Linked DNA regions of Oryzias latipes. The protein of the gene in region 1 binds, or shares a complex with, the protein of each later gene. Links are inferred from orthologs where the notes say so. Each region holds a gene or a part of one and is shown in the gene's direction. Other genes may lie near its edges.

Region 1 (4,164 bases):
GTGGCCTTCCAACAAGCTCACTCCTGATTGGCCAGAAGTGGTGGCCATAGAATTGATGACTCATAGCGACTCAGACCAATCACTACTTGCTGACGACGTCTGGCTCCAACATCTAATCTATCCCACAATTATGCAGACTAATTGACTTTTCTTCTTGTATCTCTATTTCTTTGACGTCACCCTGATGGACAAATATCTGTTATGAAGACCTCTCCAAGGCTTTATTCTTTATTTTTTTACCCTCCAATCAATCTATAAATTAACATCTTAAATGGATTTGATAGTTCTATAGTCTTTTTCCTTTATTTTTATCTCTGAAAATAGCTTCAAATCAACAAATCACTGAAGTTCTATGTAAATGTTAAAGTATTAAGACACACAGAAAGACTTCAAAGTACGAAATTCTCTTTACGTTGATTTTATTGAAGCGTTTATTTTGAGGCATTGCTGTGCGTCAATGTGATCGAACCAAGAAAAGAAGCAGCAGGTTCCCAGGGTTCAAGATCCTCAACAGCAAGACAAAAATAAACTGAAAGGATCCAATCCTGCCTTTAAGTTTGCACAGAAGCGTCTCAGCATCTTGTGAGGATCTCCTGCAGTTGTGTGGATCCAGGCTGGAAGGGTGTGGGTTGTGTTTGTGTCGGGTTGTGTTGCCGTTGGCGTTGGGTTGTGTTTTGTCTTTGTGAGGTTTGTTACCAAATGCTGGTCTGGTCCGTCTCCCGCTGTAAACGGGACAGGGGAATGAAGAAAGATCACAGGCTGTTGGCATTTAATGTTAAACTAATGTTTGTGTGATTCAACACTGAAGAACACAGCAAATGACACCAGAACTGGGCTTCTGTGCTGCAGGAGTACTGGACTCCCAACAACCCCATGCAGAACACCATCATCCTCCTGATCGAGCAGATTGTGGTGGCGCTCGGTGGAGAGTTCAAGCTCTACCTGCCTCAGCTCATCCCACACATGCTGCGCGTTTTCATGCACGACAACAGCACCGGCCGCAGCGTAACCATCAAGGTGGGTGTTTCCGCGTGCTGGAGCTCTGTGCTGCTGCTGTTGAGCTGTGTTTTCTAACGGTCCTGTGAGGTTTTCTCCAACTGTGGTATCTGTCCGTGTATAGATCTATGCACTGAGCCTTAGTAGGTCGGTTCTCCTTCTTCCTGTCACCGAGACTAACATGCCTGCTGAGCAGCTCCCTGTTGGAACTGACCCCAGCAGGGACCTGCAGCATGCACAGCAGTCCTGTGGGGGCCCTTCCTCCCGCCTGCATGTGACCCGTAACAGTCCTAAGATGCATCCATGAGGTTCAACCTCCAAAACGTCAATACAGGTCTTTGCAGATTCCGTCCAGAACAGTTTCAAATGGTCCTCCTTCACTCCATGCTCCTGCAGAACCACAGATCAGTTTACCGCCAACTTACTGAGGCTCTGACCAGAGCCAGTCACCCCCCCCCCCCCCCCACCAACCCCCAGCTTTAGTGCATCAGTAAAAACTCCATGGACCTGCAGCACTGCAGCTTTACTGGAGTTTGTGGGAATCCGTTTGGTTCTGTCTGGTCTGCAGAGTCTGTAATTGCAGTTCATGGATTCACGGGGGCGGCAGAGGGGGTGTCAGGTTCTGGTCCAAAGGAAAAGGAAAACAAACTTTTCCATTTTTTTCAAATCTTTTTCAGCTCCCACCCCCACCCCCCCCATCCTACAGCATATCCATAAATACTCGTACGCCTTCACTTCAGCTTCCTGCCGTCTCGCCATGTGCCCTTTAGACATAGGCTGCTGGGGGGGGCAGAGATGCTGGGAGGGGGGTTGTCTGCAGCATACGTCATCCTTTTAAGACCCCAGAGTGTCTGCATTCTTCACACAAGGATTTTTACTGTAGAACCAAAAAGGCCTATACTGTTCTGGAAAGTTTTCCCATGATCCTTTGCTCCTCTCATATCACTTTTACCAGATGAACCAGAGTTTATTTCAAACCATATATTGAACTTTTTACAGGATTTGGATGACTTTAGAGTCATTAACTCTTCCTTTGACTCCTCGTGGGGGGGGGGCGGGTGAGGGGTGTGTGTGTGTGTGGGGGGGGGGGGGGTTTGGAGTCTTCATCCATGTTGTTCTTGCAGCTGCTAAATGCCATCCAGCTGTTTGGTGCTAACCTGGACGACTACCTTCACCTGCTGCTGCCCCCCATTGTCAAACTATTTGATGCCCCCGACGTTCCCCTGCAGGCCCGCAAGTGAGTTCTGACTTTCATCCCATATGGAGTGACATCTCACGTTGTAGTGGCAAATGAAAATATTAAATATTTGCTTTCAAATAAAATGTTTCCGTTTGCAACACAAATGTTTTCTCATGCGTTGTGACTCATCTCGCTGTTTTCCTATCTTTGATTTTGCTCTCATAAGTTTGTTTAGCTGACAAAGCTGCCATCAAACGGAAAAGAAAAATTGAAAGCAAAGAAAAATAATTTGACAGCAAATATTTAATATTTTTATTTGCAACCTGAAGAGTTTTGTGTGCAACGCGGCGGCATAAATACAGCTCCATAGGAATGCCGTGTTCCCTCGCTGTATCGCGGTCCACCTTTCACCGTCTCGCTCTTTCACAGACTTTTATTCTGGAAAATGTTGGATCCTTTTATTATTGTTTTTTAATTTTGCATTGCGTTCTGTGTCCTGATTGGCTGTAGACTTTGTCAATCAATCCGTGTCATTGGCTAAATCTTCGATCATGATCAGATCTATGTTTCTGGACGGTTTTTTCCATGAAGGTTTGAACTTTGAGAGTCTTTAACCAAAAGAGAAAAGTGTGGAAAATGTTGAGGTCTGCCTGAGAAGAGTGTAGAAAGTGTGCAGCGTTGAGTTAAACATCTATGCTGCTTCACAGATTCATCGGTCGCGGGTCATTTTTAGGACGTATGCCTGCTAAAACGAGGGAACGCTGTAAATGAAAGTAAACTGTGACGTGAGAAGAACCAGGTGTGGATGATACGGAGCTAAAAGCAGGCGTTTCCTGGTGGTTCCTGTTCTTTCATGTAGAGAGCGGCGCTAAAGCGCCTCAGATAGCTCTGTTTGTGAGCACGTTTTCATGTGAACCGGATCGGTTTCCTGTTTTCTTGTGTGGTTCAGGGTTGCCTTGGAGACCCTCGACAGGCTGACGGAGTCCCTGGACTTCACAGACTACGCTTCTCGCATCATTCACCCCATCGTTAGGGCGCTTGACAGCACTCCTGAGTTACGGTCCACCTCCATGGACACCCTGTCCTCACTGGTTTTCCAGTTGGGAAAGAAGGTAGGCACATTGGTCCCTGGAGTGTGCTGTTATTCTGTAGGCCGGCCTCTACTCTGTTGGCCAGACATGAACCAGGTTTCCGTAACCCTCCTCAGTCTCTGCTACTTCCTGCCAGACTAATGATGTCACAGACTGTTTGCCAGCAGGGGGTGTTGTTTATGAGAGTGGATGAGGACACATGTACCCTGGGCTCTCAAGACCCTTCTCCTCTTCACTCTTTTTATTGTCCTGAGGTCTAACCTCAGAACCACCAGGCCTCCTTCCAGTCATGACTGGCAGCAAAGCCACAGGAAAGGCTTTTGATCCGTCACTCATGGAGGTTGCATGTTAGTGCCGCATGGCCCTCTATTTACTTTATGGAGAAAGGAAAAAACTGTAGCTGGGCCCACCGCATCAAGCATGTGTAGTCTTTGTTTACATGGCCTCTCTTTCTGCTTATTTTCAGTACCAGATATTTATCCCCATGGTGAACAAAGTGATGCTGAAGCACAGGATCAATCACCAGCGCTACGACATTCTCATATGCCGCATTGTGAAAGTAAGTTCTTCTGCTTTCTGGAAATGTACTCAGAGTTATTGGGACTGAATTTGGGGGATTTGTCTCCGGTTCCCGGAGGTCCAAATATCAGGACGTAAACTTCTCCTCGGGATTTGACCATGAATGTCTTAATCTAAAGAAGAGATCTTCCCTGTCAGCTTCTCCTGGAGGTATTGATGTCTGGGAAGTTCAGCAGAGATCCTGACTGCCCATCTTTAATGAAAATGTTGTTTTTAACACGTTCTTGTGGTTATGGAGGATAAAAGACTAAATTGCATTTAGTCTTTTTGCATAAATTGCATAAATTTTTTTCTTTATTCAAATCGTCGTGAATCTGG
Region 2 (4,941 bases), on another chromosome or scaffold:
GTCGTGTGGCGTCTCAGAATTCTGCACCCTGGAGGTGGCCGGCAGGCTGCTGGGAGGTCAGAAGAAAGATGAAACCTTCATTTTCTCATTCTGTGTGGCTTTGTGCACAATTCTCAGATAAACAAGAGAGTTCAATAATCAAAGACCACCTTTTGTCCTCCGAACAGGTAAAGTGCACGGCTCTCTGGCTCGTGCTGGAAAAGTGAGAGGACAGACTCCTAAGGTGAGAGCTTTTTAAGCCAAATATAATTCAACCTGGGGTTTTGTATCGTTTTGGAGCTGATGTTGTGAGGCGCTTGATGCTCTCGTTCCTAACCCTCAGTTCTTGTGTTGTCCAGGTGGACAAGCAGGAGAAAAAGAAGAAGAAGACCGGCCGCGCCAAGCGCCGCATTCAGTACAACCGGCGTTTCGTCAACGTAGTTCCCACTTTTGGAAAGAAGAAGGGGCCCAATGCCAACTCCTAAGAGGTTGTGTGACCTGGAGGTGGACCGGCACAGCTGGATGTTTTCACTTGACATCTTCTGTACAGAATAAAAACGCTGCTCTGGCTTCCCCGGCTATCGTCTGCTTTAATAGTTTCCACACGAGTAGCCATTTCAAAAATGGTTCTGTCCTTCTGGTTCGGAGTAGGAAATCAGTTCAAATTTAGTTGTTTTGCTCAAGTTCAATTCTCTTATTTCTTAATCAAGATGAGGATACACTTCATACATAAAATTCAGGCAGAATCGCCCTGTAGCATGTTTTGTGTCTGTTTGGAAAGTTTTGGTGTCCAAAATCAACAGTTAAAAAAATGACATAAAGAAAATAAAGTGAATTCAGAAACATCTGGATGAACTTCAGTGGTGTTTCACTTTAGAGGCTGCATTATAAACCCAGATCTCCTAAATAACAAACTCAAGGGCTGTCTGCACTAAAATTCACAAGTCTTTTATCTGCAATTGAGATAATTAAGATTAAACTTTAGCAAATGAGATCTTTTATGAAAATGGAAAGTATCATATTCCTAGTAATGTAATTGCTATTTTAATTTCCTGTTAACATGACAAAAAGCAATGATTTAAACACATTTTTACTTGACCTATAAAATAAGAGATAAAGATGTAATTGAAAGCTATCCCTTATTTTATTCTGAAAGTAGTTTTATTGCAAATGTTTTTTGCTCCTTTCTGTGAGTGGATTTTTAAATGAAAAAAAATTTCTAAGAACAAAAACCTAAATGGCAGGGATAACTTTGTAAATTACTGGTATAACAATTTAACCCTTGTGCTATCTTAGATGACCCCACCCTTCCATTGACATGTTCTCCATACCATGACAAAGGTGGATAAAGGTGGAAAGATTTCATGTAATCCATGGACACCATTGAAGATCACAAATCATTGAAGAAAAAAGGTTCAGAGCACTGTCTAGTGGGTCTAGATGACCCAACTCCCAACGTTAAAATGCCTAGGATAGCACAAGGGTTAAAAAATGTTATTGGTTAATCAAATAAGTTAATAATTAGAAATATAGCCATTTTGTCTCTTTCTGTGGATAGCTTTTGAGTTAATAAAATACAGTTATCTTTTACATCACAAAAACACGCTTTTATTTTGAAAGCTTGTCAACGGGATGACGTATACGTGCACAACCAATCAGAGAGACGCTGGACTGACCCGCAGTAAAGATGGCGGACGAACCCATGCGTGAGTGGACCGACGAGCAGCTCAGAAGTGACAGTGTGGCCAAAAAGGACTTAATAAAGTTTTTACAGGACCACGCGACTCACACGGTAGGAAAACTACGCGCTCGAGGGTTTACTATCTTATAGCTGTGATACTGCTGAGCGGTTGTTATGATTCAGCGCGTCGCAGCATGATGATGTAATTATTGTCTTGCAGTTCCTTTCTGAGTACAAACTGCTGGGAAACATAAAAAATGTCACCAAGACGGCGAATAAAGAGCAGCTGGTGGTCGCCTACAACCAGCTGTTTGAGAGTAAGGTGAGAGAGGCGGGTGAGTTTGTGCCGCAGACTAATAAAGGTTTGATTCAAAAACACAAACATGTCTTCAGAGGTTTAAAGGGACTGAACCAGAGGAGCTGACAGAGAAGGTGAAGGCGGTGAAAATCGAAGACAAGCCCAAAGAGGTGAAGGCGGAGCCTGTGGATGAGGTAATATCTGCTTTGATTTATCCCAAATTCCACCATTGACTGTAAATGAGAACTGGAGAGAGTCTGATGACACCCATAGAAAATATCTTACTTCCAGCTCCAACAAAACCAGGTCAATTCAGTCGCCCTTCTTCCAGAATATGGCTGTCGCCATGTTGGAACCAGAAATTGGCAGTAAGCAGTGATTGTCCCGAGTCCGGAAGAGTCAATGTTTCTATGGCAACCCTTCTCACCAACCAGGAAGGGGTTTGTTAAAAGGCCACACCCCCACCCCTTGAAACAGGCTTGAGAGAATGTCGATCTGTCAATCAAATGCTTTGAATGTTTACAGCGTGAGACCACAAATTTTTACCAAGGCATCCGAGTGGTCCGTGAAAACGTCTTTTATTAAGAAGACGTTATAGCAAAGGTATCAGAGCAAGAATGGTCATTCTGACCAATTGAATGACTGACTGAGTAAAAGCTGTTTATTTCTCTAGAGACGTCTATGGGATTTTGGCTTCTTGGAGTCAGCGGGTACTCAATCCAATTCTCATATACAGTCCAGCACTCGGGTTGGTTTCATGTTGTGATGGTCTCAGAATTGAAACCGAAGACCGAAACAGATCGAACTGTCAGGGAAAAAAAATCCTGCAATTCCAAACGCCAATCACTTTCCCCCAAGTGATGGGTTAATCTATTTATTTGACTTCATGAGGAGTTAATGTGAGTTTTCACACGGTGTCCGTCTCGTTTCAGGGTCCCCCTAAATACACCAAATCCACCCTGAAAAAAGGTGACAAGACCAACATCCCGAAGAAGGGCGACACGGTGAGCTGCTGGTACACGGGCAGCCTGGAGGACGGGACTGTCTTCGACACCAACATCCCCGCAGGTACCAGGAACTGTGGGCCTTGACTTTTCCAGAGTCGCTCGCGGCTCCATCGTCACTGCTTTCTCGTTTCCATAGCGGCAAAGAAGAAGAGGCAGACCAAGCCGCTGAGCTTCAAAGTCGGCTTGGGGAGAGTGATCAGAGGGGTACGTTTGCCTTCTCTCTGTTTATTCACGGCTCTTTGACTGACCTGTCTGTCACCCGCTGTCGCCACAGTGGGACGAAGCCCTTCTGACCATGAGCAAGGGGGAAACTGCACGGCTGGAAATTGAACCAGAGTGGGCGTACGGAAAGAAAGGCCTGCCAGACTCCAAGTATCCTTTCCTGCTGGACTTTTATTTTGAAGTGTGCAGACATGGATGACAGGGTTCTAGTATCAACCCGTTACTAGTGAAAGTAGTTGGAAGAGTTTTGGGGTGAGAAATGTTGAAGCGGTGTAAATCTTTTGAATCTTGCTCCAAGCCTCTTTCTGTAGCTGCTCTTTTCCAACATATGAAAAGGATGCTACCCATACGTCCCTAAAAAACCTGAGTCTAATAGAAAACCCACAATGACCTCTGAAGAACTTTCCAACTCAATGGCAATGGAAACGGAAACCTCGGGATCGGCGCTTTGAGGAAAAATGAGCGGTTCGGTATCAAAAATGTGGTGTCAGTTGGACATCTTCCTGCAGGGAAATGACCTAAACCACAAACATCTACCAGGGATCTCCAACCCTGTTCCTTGTGAGATACTGCCCTGCTTGTTTTGCAGCTAAGCCTGCTCCAATCATCACTGCTCACCTGGATCAGGTGTATTCAGTCGATTAGACACTGGGCTCACTCAGTCCAGCCAATCAGGACTTACTGCAGCAGTTAGCTGTAAAACAAGCAGGGCAGTAGCTCTCAAGGAACAGGACACAGTTCTTTACACAAGACTCTTCTGAAGTGAAACCATCAAAACCTGAGACTTTTGCAGCTCAATTTCATACGTTTTGCAACAGACAGTGAAGCTGAGAGAATTGTGTCTTTCGTCCAGGCCTGCTTCTGCATTGCATCAGTTTCTATGATTTAACTCCAAAGGGATGTTTTTTTGATGATGCTGAAGGTTTGTTTTCGCCTGAACTCCTTCTTCTCCAGAATTCCTCCAAACGCAAAGCTGATATTCGAAGTTGAACTGGTGTCCGTGGACTGACCGCTCTGCGCAGGTCCTCGCTTAGGCCGACGGATCGCTGTGGTGGAAGTTTTGGCCCAAATGTCCAGCATGAAGCCTCCCGAAAAAAAGAGCTGGGCCATACCAGGAAAAAAAACAACCTCATTTTATTTTGTTTACAAACTCTGAACTAATAAAGTTGTTTTCTGTCAGACAAAGCCTTCAGTTGGTTTCTTTTATGTATGGATCACCAAAATAAGCAATCCAAGTCAGATATATGTATTTTTACAAATGCAATCTGTTATCTACATGTAATAGAAAAAAAGAATGTGGGAAAAATACTAGGTTAATTTCAAAAGCTAGGGCTTTCTCACACAGCAGAAGAGCAAACCAAAAATGAAAGTAGAGTAAACTGCTCGGGAAAAACTGCAGTTCCAGCATCAGTCCATTGGAGGGCAGTGTTTCCCAAAGCAAACTGACCAGGGTGAGGAAGAAAGCAAAAAAAAAAAAATTGCACCTCCTCTGGTATCCCACAACCCATTTTGCATTGTTTTCCTTTTGTCCTATTGTTTGCGTCAATTACTCCCTCTTGTTTAACCCTTGTGCTATCCAACGCACTTTAACGTTGGGAGTTGGGTCATCTAGACCCACTAGACAGTGCTCTGAACCTTTTTTCTTCAATGATTTGTGATCTTCACTGGTGTCCATGGATTACATGAAATCTTTCCACCTTTATCCACCTTTGTCATGATAGGGAGAACACGTCAAAGTAAGGGTGGGGTCATCT
Region 3 (4,676 bases), on another chromosome or scaffold:
ATTTCCAAAGTTGAATTGAATTGAAATGGTTCATTTCAAGCAATCAAATAGGAATAATACATAAAAACAATACAATCATCAGTTATAGATTCGTACCACAACTAATCAAACTTTGGATAATTAATCATATAAATAAATATTGCTTGAAAGGGAGTGGAAGGAAGCGAACTTATATAAACCCACCCCTGTTCTACCGTAACCATTTTATAACATGATTTATCATTATCCGGTTAAGTGGCCATCTTTTTTCTGTCTTGGTTTGTGTTCGTAAAGCATTAGCGCCATCTAGTGGTTAATGTGGTCATAGCAACCTGAGTTTTCTTGCAGCTTTTAAAAAAAAATGATAATATAACAACTGAAAATGTTGAAACATTCGTCTTTTACTTTTGGTACCTCTGTTTTTTAATGAACCAGTTATTCTGTAATTTACACGTCTTGAATTTTTTGCATGAAAGAAGTCTTTGGTATCACAACGTTAGTAAAAACAAACACGTTTTTTACTCAAGAGAGAAGCTAAAAATAATTCATGTATTGTTCATCGTTTAGAGTACACTTCTATGAACTCAAGTAACAAGCTCTGTGGGACCAGCTGTCATAAACTATACAGCGACAGACATCAAGACTCATGATCAAGACTCATGAGGTTGGAATGAAAAAGTAGGTCAAGGTCTTTCTGTAATTGCAAAATCATTTAAGCAGGCTAATGCAACAAAAATCCCTTTGGGTTTGAACAAAAATAGTCTCTGAGAAGATGAAAGAATTATGTTTTTGCTGATATGTGTGCAGAAAAAGGAGCTGCAGTGATGTCCAAATCCTCTAAGCAGGTCCATTATGTGCACTACTTGTGTTGTACTTATTATTGTTATTTATTCTTTGAATATTTCCTATTTGTAACAATAACTTTAACATAACACAACTTGCCTTAAATCAAGTTAGAACATATTATTTTTTGTTTTCAACTTAAATATTTCCCTAAAGTTAGGATAAAAACATACGTTTAAACCATATTACAAAACATTTTGCACAAATTATTCCTGTCACTAAATCCCAATCATACATGAAAACATGAACCATGACACAAACTCAAACAAAAAAACTAAGATTTGTTTTTATAAAAACAAATTTAGCAAATTGGTCATGCTGAAAAATATTAATAAATAAATATTACATTTGCAATTAAAACTCGAATACTGCTGCTAACTAAACTGTTTATTTCTGTCGTTCAGTCGCCAGGTCAGATTATTTTTTCATTGCCGTTGGAGGTTAAGGGATTAACTGGGATTCGCCTGATCCCAGATCTGTGATTTGCACCGCAGCGATTTGCGTTTGATGTCCGTGTTCTCGCGACATTCCGCGAAGTTTCCGGTGTTGTGTATGTTCCTGGAAACATGGCGGCCAGCTTCCGCGGCCGTCCTATCCGGAGTCTTCGGATGCGAGGTAAGCGTGAAAAACTCAGCTCATAATTTGTTGGAATGGCAGCGTATTGCAATAAGAGCACGTCTCCCACAAAACATAGCATTGAATTTGTCCTTCAGCGTTTCCGTTGCGTTTGTTTTTGTCAGGGCGGAATGACAGCGGGGAGGAGAACGTACCGCTGGATCTGAGTAGAGGTAAGCAGAGGCTCATCATTCTAAAAGCTATTATTGCTCAAAATGGATTATGGTTGACTTTATGCACAAAATATACGAACCTCTAAATGAACCACGAGATTGCCACGTGGATGCATTTTTAATTAAACGTTTTATTTGTTGTTGTTTTGTTCAAAAATCTTCCTTTGTGGCTATAAACAGGCGAGAGGGAGCTAACTAGCTAGCTGATTTAGCGTTAGCTGGCTGCCACAGCTAACCAGTCATGACGATGCGCTGTTGTTTTGGTAGGCGTGAGTGGGCTGCAGAGCCTGCTATTTAGCGAGACAGCCATTAGAGTTGCATTAATACACGAGGCTCCGCTGGCTGTCAGAAACCCTGAGCTTAAGCCGGTTTGCTGAGCAATGCACATACGGGCTTTTTTTTTTTTATTCACAGCTCAGCCGAGTTAAATTTGCTCATCTAGCAACAGCACTGTCTGCTTGTTTGTTTACACCAACCAGCGGCTGTTTTCTTTGTTTGGAACCTTTTGCGGCTGCTAGGCACACTTGACTCACGATAAAAGCACGATCAACGAGTTCTGATGGAAACATTTCGGTCCTAAATTAGGAAAACGATTACGAACATAGTTTGTGTTTTTTGTCAGCTTAGGTTTTTATATAAAACGTATCTTACTGGAACAAACTCAACCATTGATGGGGGGTATTCCAGAAAGTAGGTTATGCTATTTACCACGATAAGTTTGAGGCTAAGGAAGCGGATAGCCTCAGCTTTTGGTTCCAAAAACAGTGGTATGTTTCAGGGTATGTGAAGTTGCTATAGCAACTCATGCTCTGAACATAACCTGGTCTGGAGCAGGTTTAGTTGAAGGTTAGTTGGTTTCAGAGAGGTGAAGGAGCATGCAGTGTCCATTTGAAGATGATTTAGTGGATGAAGAAGCTCAGATAATACTTTTTCCACCATGAGAGGGTGATAAGACCACGTATGGATGTTGGAAAGATGAACTTTTTTACATTAATCTAACTTAATTATTTGCTTCAGTTAAGATACATTCTTTTTGTTACATGAGCTTAAAAAGAACACTAAGTTATCAGACAGTTATTTTACTTTAATTCAAATTAATTCAATTAAGTAGGTGTAACTTTGGTGCTGCTGTTAGATCGGCGCTGCAAGGAATTGTGGGATACCATTCCCTTTGCCTGTCTGGACGGATTTGGGTTTAAGTGTGGGTTTTTGACCAAATGTGTTTAGTTGTTTATCTGTTTTACTGTGTATTTCCGAGTTATTTGTCCTGTTGTGTTTAATTCTTTCTGCACCATGAGTGAGAGGGAGGGAGAGAATGATGAGGTTATTTAGCACCCCTACTGCTCAGTGTTGTAATGTCAAAGTCAGAGAAAGGATAAATGACTTTAAGTTTTGTGTTGTGAATCTATATTGTTTCATTCATTTTAATGTTATAAAAATGAGAATATCTACAGGCTCAAATGTAGACATATGAGAGTTCAAGAAATACAATAAATTAAGATGGAAAGACATTTAATTGAATTGGAGTAATATGACATTTAGTTAGAAAAATATGTAAATTTGAGATTTCAGCCAGAGTTCAGGGTTAAAGTCAGGGTAGTTTAAACATGCTTCCTGGATTACCCCCCAGGAACGTTTATAATGCAATAACACCACTGTTTCTTAAACGATTGATCGATTTTTGCTTCACGGATAAGAAGCTAAAGTTTAAGGTATATTTATACACCAGTGCTTGTTTGCCTTTTTGCTTTTGATACTTTTATCTTAGCATCATATAGGAAATCTTCTTAAATGTCAACCTCAGTTAAACCATTTTCGTGGTATTCTATTGTTTTGTTTTGTAGCTGTACGGATTTTTCCCCCTTTGTATTTGAAGTTCTAAATCTTGTTAAAATATCAGTTTTTTTTATGGAGAGATAATATAAGACAATTTAAAACATAATCTGGGATTAGGATGGTCTATTTACGTGTTTGTGAAATGGATTTCTTCATTGATTGGTATATCTGACATTAGTTTCTACAGATATTAGATGTCTACATATGAAATAACCTCGCAAGTGTTTTAATATTTTATCAAATAATTAACATTAGATGAATTGTTGGAAAGCAAAGTCTAACTTGCTCGACTTTGCTTTTTGCTATAAAGGTCTAGTTTTGACTGCATAAACGTAAAACTAGTAAACTAATTGATAGCCCTTTCCTTTTCTCCTGTAACCACAGAGCTATTTTGTCCACTGAAATGGTCTTTTTGTTTCCCTCTAGAACCATCAGAAAACTTCCGGGAAATTCTTCAAAATGTGGCTAAACCACACGGAGTTAGCAACATGCGAAAACTGGGCCACCTGAACAACTTCATAAAGGTAAGAATGCTGCAGCATTTTTTTGCTCCACATGCAGCTTTTTAAGGAAGATGACTGTAGATATATTGAATGACTGATCAACTACTCTTCCTCTGAAATGTAGCTGCTGACCTGCTGAGGTTTATACCACAGTTTAGATTAAAAAAAAAAAAAAGCTCTGGGGATAGAAATGCATCATAAGCTTCTATTCAACTAGAATAACCTGCTGGCTATAAAACTAAAATAATATATATATTTTTTTACTGTAAACCCTAACTTGTTTCTCAATTTGTTTTCCTATTCCTCAGTATGTTTGGATTATGTTTAATATTTGTTGCAAAAGTGAAGATTCTCCTAAACTTATCTGACTCCGGTGGCAAAATTGTTAAAGAGATGGAGACAGTTTTAGGTCCATCTAAATTGGAACAAGATCAGGGATTTCAGAGCACCTCTGAAGAGACTTTAGAAAGGCTCAGACCAACCTTTAATAGCACAATGTTTTAACAAGCAGTTGAGTTTCACCTCCATCTATCCCCGCAAAAAAAGTATATATCACCTTTGACACACTAAAAAACGATTTTTGCAGCTAATTTCCTGCCCGGAGGTAAGAAGACTTGATCTCTGAAGCACTGCCTTTCGCTCCTTGTGGGCGTCGCCCATTTCAGGACGTCAACCTATAGCTGGCCTCGGCGGCGTATCTGCGTTTCGCCCAAAAAACAAACATCAT
Region 4 (4,929 bases), on another chromosome or scaffold:
ATTCTAATCAGTCACTTTGTGGTGAACTCCACAACAAAGCTAAATGCTTTATTATTAAATATAATACATTTGAATAATTATTAAGAGGATCCGTAAACCAAAAGGTAAATCATTCAGACTCCATACCCGGTTGTTGATAAGAGTTGGTGTTTGTTTGTTTTTTGTGGCTTCATTTTTGCGTGTTTGTGTTTGTTTTCTGCCTGCAGTGGACTCCATCACTGACGTTTACACCGTCAACCAGCTGAAGTTGAAGGCCAAGGAGCAACCGGAGACTTTCTTCGGCCTGACTTACAGCTTCATCTCCAAGCTGGACCTGGACTCCTCTGCCTCTAAAGTCATCAAGACCCGCTGGTACGATCGCACCAAAGTCACGGCCTCCTTCTTTCCTTCCATCTGTCCGTGCTTCGATTTGGGCTTTTTTCAGCTCTAAATGTAGGTTCCTGCTGACGGCGGACATGCAGAGCTGCGGTAACCAGCTGTGTCCGGGCGGGGAGCAGCCGTTCTCAGGCACCACAGGCTTCGACCTGCTGGTGGACCTGACCGACCACACCGGCACGCTGCAGGCCTGCAGCCTCCGGGGCGCCACGGCGGAGCAGACGCTCGGCTGCTCGGTCGGTAACTCCTCAGAGGCTGAGGGGGGGGGTCAGCTCCAAACTGCTGAGATCCACAGACTTCTCTTAAATATGCTGCTGCCTGCTTCCAGACGGACGAGTTCATCCGTCTGACCGATGATCAGCGCACCGCTCTCAAGTGGAAGTTTCTTCTGGAAAGATGCAAAATATACCTGAAGGTATTCCAGCCTTCAAAAGGCATGTTTTTTTTTTTTTTGTCTTTGTGATGTGTTTTTATTGTTCATGAGATCGTCTGCCGCAGATCCTTCCCTCTGCGAGAACGAAAAGCGGCATCAGGGGGGTGATCCTGGCCTGCTCTCCGGCCGACCCAGGAGAGGTGAAGCAGCATATGTCGGCTGTTCTGCAGCAGCTTTGAACCAGCAATGCGAAGTCTGTTCTATTTACATTTGTTCTGCGCTAATTACAATGTAAACAGATGCTTCAACTGTTATTTATTTATTTATTCTTATTTATTTAACTTATTGATATAAATTGATTTATTTAAAAAAAGGCGTTAAATTGTTCCTGTTTAATAAAGTTGTGTTTTGAAAAAAAATTCTGATTTATTATCACAAAATACAATTAAAAAAGAAAAAAAAAACAAAAGCAACTGTTATAAAAAAAAGTATATTTAAAATAAAAAGAATGATGTAGATTTTATGTAGCGACAATAAATGCTTTATTTAAAGCAATTTTAACCATAAAAAAAGAAAAATATGTATTAAAATTTTGAATTCATAAAAATGATTAAAAAGAAATAAAACAATATGTTTAAATATTTTTTGACATATTACTCTGAATCATAAGGAGACATATTTGCACATTTATTGTAATGATTGCCAAATAAAAGTTGATTAATTACCTGAAAGAGTGTGGGAAAAGGCGATTTTATGATTCTACCTCTATTATGATTTATTTTTTATTATTATTATTTTACATCGTTGCATTCCTGCATTTAAACAATTTTTTTTTCAAAGCGGAACGTTTGACACACTTCTGTGTTTATCGGGGACGCGTTAGTCAGACGTACCGCAGTCGCGAATGATGGCTTCAGGAAATCTGTAAAGCGAATTCTTATCAGATTTTTAGATGTTTTCTCACATTCAGATATTTTTAAAACGGCTTTTCTTTAAAAGAGTTAACTTCAAAAAGCTTGAGCTGACGTCGTTGGCCGATCGTTTGGACCGAGTTCGTCAGATGTAACTAAGTGGACTGACGGGTTCTGGTGTTGTTTGTAACCGTGACACACTAGCGGAGAAGCATGAATGTCAACCAGGGCACGGTGGGCAGCGACCCGGTTATCCTGGCCACGGCTGGATACGATCACACAGTCCGGTTCTGGCAGGCCCACAGCGGGATCTGTACCCGGACGGTGCAGCATCAGGACTCGGTATCCTTTCCCTGGTTAGAACGGTTCGGTGAGAGCTCTCTGTTTACATGCGCTACCGCTGGCTTACAGCCGCTCACACCCCAACCTGACGAAATGGCCCCCAATTTCGGAGCTTTACTGAATTGAAAAACAAAATTATGACTTTAGTCTCGTAAAATTTTACATTTTTATTGTTGTTTATACTTTTACAAATTTATTAGTGTAATTTTTTTTTACTTTTTAATAATAATTTTACTACGGAACGGTATTATGTTAAATAAAAATAAAATACAGGTGACCTTTGCTCTAACTTGTTTGACATAATCCGTTTTTGTTTTGTTTTTGTTTGATTCACCACACACACTAAAAATAAAACCATCAACTGTTAATTAAATGCAATAGGCTTAATATTTTACAGCATTATTCTCATACATAATATGTATTTTGTTGTAGAAAAATGCTATAAAAGGCATATATATGCTAAATACCTCAAAAACGCGACTTTCGGAGTGGGCCTTTAACTCGTCATTTCAGCAAGTGAATTCCCTTGAAGTGACCCCGGACAGAAGCATGATCGCCGCCGCAGGTCAGTCCAAACTCTCCCATTTGAAGGCTGCGCGGCGTTTCACTGCGCGTTCCTCCTCTTCCTCCTGCAGGGTATCAGCACATCCGCATGTACGACCTGAACTCCAACAACCCAAACCCCGTCATCAACTACGACGGAGTCAGCAAGAACATCACCTCCGTGGGCTTCCATGAGGACGGACGCTGGATGTACACCGGAGGAGAGGACTGCATGGCTCGCATATGGGACCTAAGGTACGGCGGTTCACCTCCACCGCACACCCCGGCAGAAATCCACTCTGCTGTTATCAACCCTCCTCCTTTCAGGTCAAGAAACCTGCAGTGTCAGAGGATCTTCCAAGTAAACGCTCCCATCAACTGTGTGTGTCTTCATCCCAATCAGGTATCCTCAAAGCTGCACAGGTGTTTGATGTGGATTTATCTGTAGATTTGTCAGCGTTTTGTGATTTTTCTTTTAGGCGGAGCTGATTGTTGGGGATCAGAGTGGCGTGATTCACATCTGGGACCTGAAAACGGACCACAACGAACAGCTGATTCCAGAGCCAGAAGTCTCGGTGAACTCTGTCCACATCGACCCCGATGCCAGCTACATGGCAGCCGTCAACAGCTCGGTGCGTCCCCAAACTGAACATGGGACGCAAAAACTGGGGTTGGAGAGAAACTAGAGTGAGGTTCCTGTTCCCCCCCCCAACAGGGAAACTGTTACGTGTGGAACCTGGCTGGAGGGATGGGAGACGAAGTGACGCAGCTCATTCCAAAGACGAAGATCCCGGCGCACAAACGATACTCGCTGCGCTGCAAGTTCAGCCCCGACTCCACGTGAGGCTTTTTGTTGTTTCTGCCTGACGTGAGGCCAAACAGAAAAAAAACCTCATTGATGTTTCTCCTTGAATGTCTCCAGACTACTGGCCACCTGCTCAGCGGATCAGACCTGCAAGATCTGGAGGACGTCCAACTTCTCCCTGATGACGGAGCTGAGCATCAAAAGCAACAACCCCGGGGAGACGTCCCGAGGCTGGATGTGGGACTGCGCCTTCTCCGGAGACTCGCAGTACATCGTTACAGGTGCGTACCTTCACCTTTGGGTCTGTCCCCTTGTCCCGCTGAGTTTTTAAAGTTAAAAATGGCATGTTTTAGCAAACTTTAATATAAAATTAAAGCCGTAAACGGCGTTGCATGACCTGCAGAGGACACTGCCCCCTTTTGAACCGCCTTCACCCTCCCCTTCTGCCAGTCTGGTCACAAATTCATGAAAGAGAACACTTTTATTCAAAAGTGCGGCTTTTCTGATGGTTTTATCTCCATGGCAACCATTTCAGTTTTTGGTCACCGCGGGGTGACGAACAGGTTTCGGTCATTTTTAGAAGAATCTGCAAAAGTAGATTTTTGGATTTCCTTAGCAACGTAGGATTTTTGTTAACCACACCCACATTTCTTATATGTTCATATTGTTTGTCATATCGTTTGGTTCAGCTTGAGCAGAGGTGCGCTCCATTTTCTCAATATTCCGGTAAAAAATGCGCCCACAACAGGAAATCGCCACTTTTGTGAACTCGCCGTTCAAAATCCACAAACTTTATTTCCAAAATTCCAATTAGTTTCCCAAGGACACCGCTCCAGGAGTCAGGAGGCGATTCTTAGGAGGAGTTTAAATTTGTAGCTGGGACTAAACGGGATAAATATGTATTTTTTTACAAAATTCAAGATGGCAGCTTCTTCCCGAGGTCAAAGGTCAATGAAACTTCAGCTCTTGTTGAAGACTTTTGAATTGTAAATTGTAGAATAAATTGTAGACGAATGTGAAAATCACCAAACGTCACTCTCTGCCACACAGTGACCACCAAGCCGTGGCACCTGTGGCCATCCCATAATAATTAAAAAAACTTCCTTCCAATCTGGTCGTCGTAGTCCAGGATTATTGCGGGGCGGAGTAATAATCCCGGTTTTTATCATTATCCAGCTGTTTCTTTAATGTTAGGAATCAGTTGAAGCAGAAAAATGGAGGTAAAGTCGCGTTTTTGTTCCGCAGCGTCTTCAGACAATCTCGCTCGTCTGTGGTGCGTCGAGACCGGCGAAATCAAGAGGGAGTACAGCGGCCACCAGAAGGCCGTGGTGTGTCTGGCCTTCAACGACAGCGTGCTCGGCTGAAGAGGACGACGGACGCCGTCAGCCGGAGCTGAACCCGCTGCTCAGTTTTGTCCAAATGAAACCCGGAATCGTTCGGCACAAAAATTCAAATCCAGAGGGTGACCGTTTTATTTTTTTTTAATTTTGTTGTGAATCTGTTAGTAAGAAGGAACATTTCCCAGGATATTTATTAAAAGCAAAAGGAACGCTGTCATTCCCGCTTCCCGCCTGGAGGAG

What was found. Proteins that work in one complex are often made in the same cells at the same time.
Region 2: the proteins of mtor (region 1) and fkbp3 are in contact, whole or in part, in a crystal structure (PDB 5GPG), measured with the Homo sapiens proteins. The link is inferred for Oryzias latipes from reciprocal best matches to the Homo sapiens genes MTOR and FKBP3. Residues at the interface, in NP_001373429.1 of Homo sapiens: Glu2032, Tyr2038, Phe2039, Gly2040, Arg2042, Tyr2088, Val2094, Leu2097, Tyr2105, His2106, Arg2109; in NP_002004.1 of Homo sapiens: Lys160, Pro161, Leu162, Ser163, Lys170, Tyr198, Lys201, Gly202, Gln203, Pro204, Asp205, Ala206.
Region 3: the proteins of mtor (region 1) and rictor are in contact, whole or in part, in a cryo-EM structure (PDB 6ZWM), measured with the Homo sapiens proteins. The link is inferred for Oryzias latipes from reciprocal best matches to the Homo sapiens genes MTOR and RICTOR. Residues at the interface, in NP_001373429.1 of Homo sapiens: Arg1028, Asp1032, Lys1068, Leu1069, Asp1108, Asp1109, Tyr1110, Asp1150, Lys1187, Asn1196, Val1200, Gln1207, Asp1210, Val1211, Cys1214, Arg1215, Lys1218, Gly1219, Tyr1220, Thr1221, Leu1222, Ala1223, Glu1226, Glu1227, Asp1228, Leu1230, Ile1231, His1234, Arg1235, Arg1238; in NP_689969.2 of Homo sapiens: Leu204, Arg205, Gly206, Asn209, Arg245, Asp247, Val248, Glu249, Glu251, Arg252, Leu254, Thr258, Asp259, Phe260, His261, Tyr262, Arg263, His264, Ser265, Pro266, Asn306, Gly308, Ser311, Gly314, Val315, Cys317, Ile318, Pro319, Glu345, Ile347.
Region 4: the proteins of mtor (region 1) and mlst8 are in contact, whole or in part, in a crystal structure (PDB 4JSV), measured with the Homo sapiens proteins. The link is inferred for Oryzias latipes from reciprocal best matches to the Homo sapiens genes MTOR and MLST8. Residues at the interface, in NP_001373429.1 of Homo sapiens: Leu2269, Arg2270, Met2271, Ala2272, Pro2273, Asp2274, His2277, Leu2278, Thr2279, Leu2280, Met2281, Gln2282, Val2284, Glu2285, Val2286, Glu2288, His2289, Asn2292, Asn2293, Glu2536; in NP_001186102.1 of Homo sapiens: Tyr20, His22, Asp42, Ser43, Gln44, Val45, Asn46, Tyr62, Asn87, Glu105, Gln148, Thr174, Arg221, Tyr222, Leu224, Ser268, Arg270, Gly271, Trp272, Trp274, Ser290, Lys313, Val316.

Annotation. Positions count from the first base shown.
Region 1 is NC_019865.2:1,195,844-1,200,007, reverse strand, and holds part of mtor (serine/threonine-protein kinase mTOR), read left to right. Parts: intron 1-849; coding exon 850-1,017; intron 1,018-2,120; coding exon 2,121-2,233; intron 2,234-3,125; coding exon 3,126-3,288; intron 3,289-3,733; coding exon 3,734-3,826; intron 3,827-4,164. UniProt on the Homo sapiens protein: Serine/threonine protein kinase which is a central regulator of cellular metabolism, growth and survival in response to hormones, growth factors, nutrients, energy and stress signals.
Region 2 is NC_019882.2:10,163,811-10,168,751, reverse strand, and holds fkbp3 (peptidyl-prolyl cis-trans isomerase FKBP3), read left to right. Parts: upstream 1-1,635; 5' UTR 1,636-1,666; coding exon 1,667-1,771; intron 1,772-1,880; coding exon 1,881-1,982; intron 1,983-2,053; coding exon 2,054-2,152; intron 2,153-2,890; coding exon 2,891-3,026; intron 3,027-3,101; coding exon 3,102-3,169; intron 3,170-3,239; coding exon 3,240-3,337; intron 3,338-4,141; coding exon 4,142-4,196; 3' UTR 4,197-4,369; downstream 4,370-4,941. Other genes in the region: fau (40S ribosomal protein S30), read left to right, coding at 1-56, 168-223, 339-464. UniProt on the Homo sapiens protein: FK506- and rapamycin-binding proteins (FKBPs) constitute a family of receptors for the two immunosuppressants which inhibit T-cell proliferation by arresting two distinct cytoplasmic signal transmission pathways. PPIases accelerate the folding of proteins.
Region 3 is NC_019867.2:18,765,195-18,769,870, reverse strand, and holds the start of rictor (rapamycin-insensitive companion of mTOR), read left to right. Parts: upstream 1-1,370; 5' UTR 1,371-1,388; coding exon 1,389-1,437; intron 1,438-1,562; coding exon 1,563-1,610; intron 1,611-3,872; coding exon 3,873-3,970; intron 3,971-4,676. UniProt on the Homo sapiens protein: Component of the mechanistic target of rapamycin complex 2 (mTORC2), which transduces signals from growth factors to pathways involved in proliferation, cytoskeletal organization, lipogenesis and anabolic output.
Region 4 is NC_019877.2:3,130,566-3,135,494, reverse strand, and holds the start of mlst8 (target of rapamycin complex subunit LST8), read left to right. Parts: upstream 1-1,623; 5' UTR 1,624-1,872; coding exon 1,873-2,001; intron 2,002-2,514; coding exon 2,515-2,566; intron 2,567-2,636; coding exon 2,637-2,799; intron 2,800-2,871; coding exon 2,872-2,947; intron 2,948-3,023; coding exon 3,024-3,176; intron 3,177-3,259; coding exon 3,260-3,384; intron 3,385-3,466; coding exon 3,467-3,630; intron 3,631-4,594; coding exon 4,595-4,713; 3' UTR 4,714-4,929. Other genes in the region: meiob (meiosis-specific with OB domain-containing protein), read left to right, coding at 207-351, 425-611, 704-790, 874-987.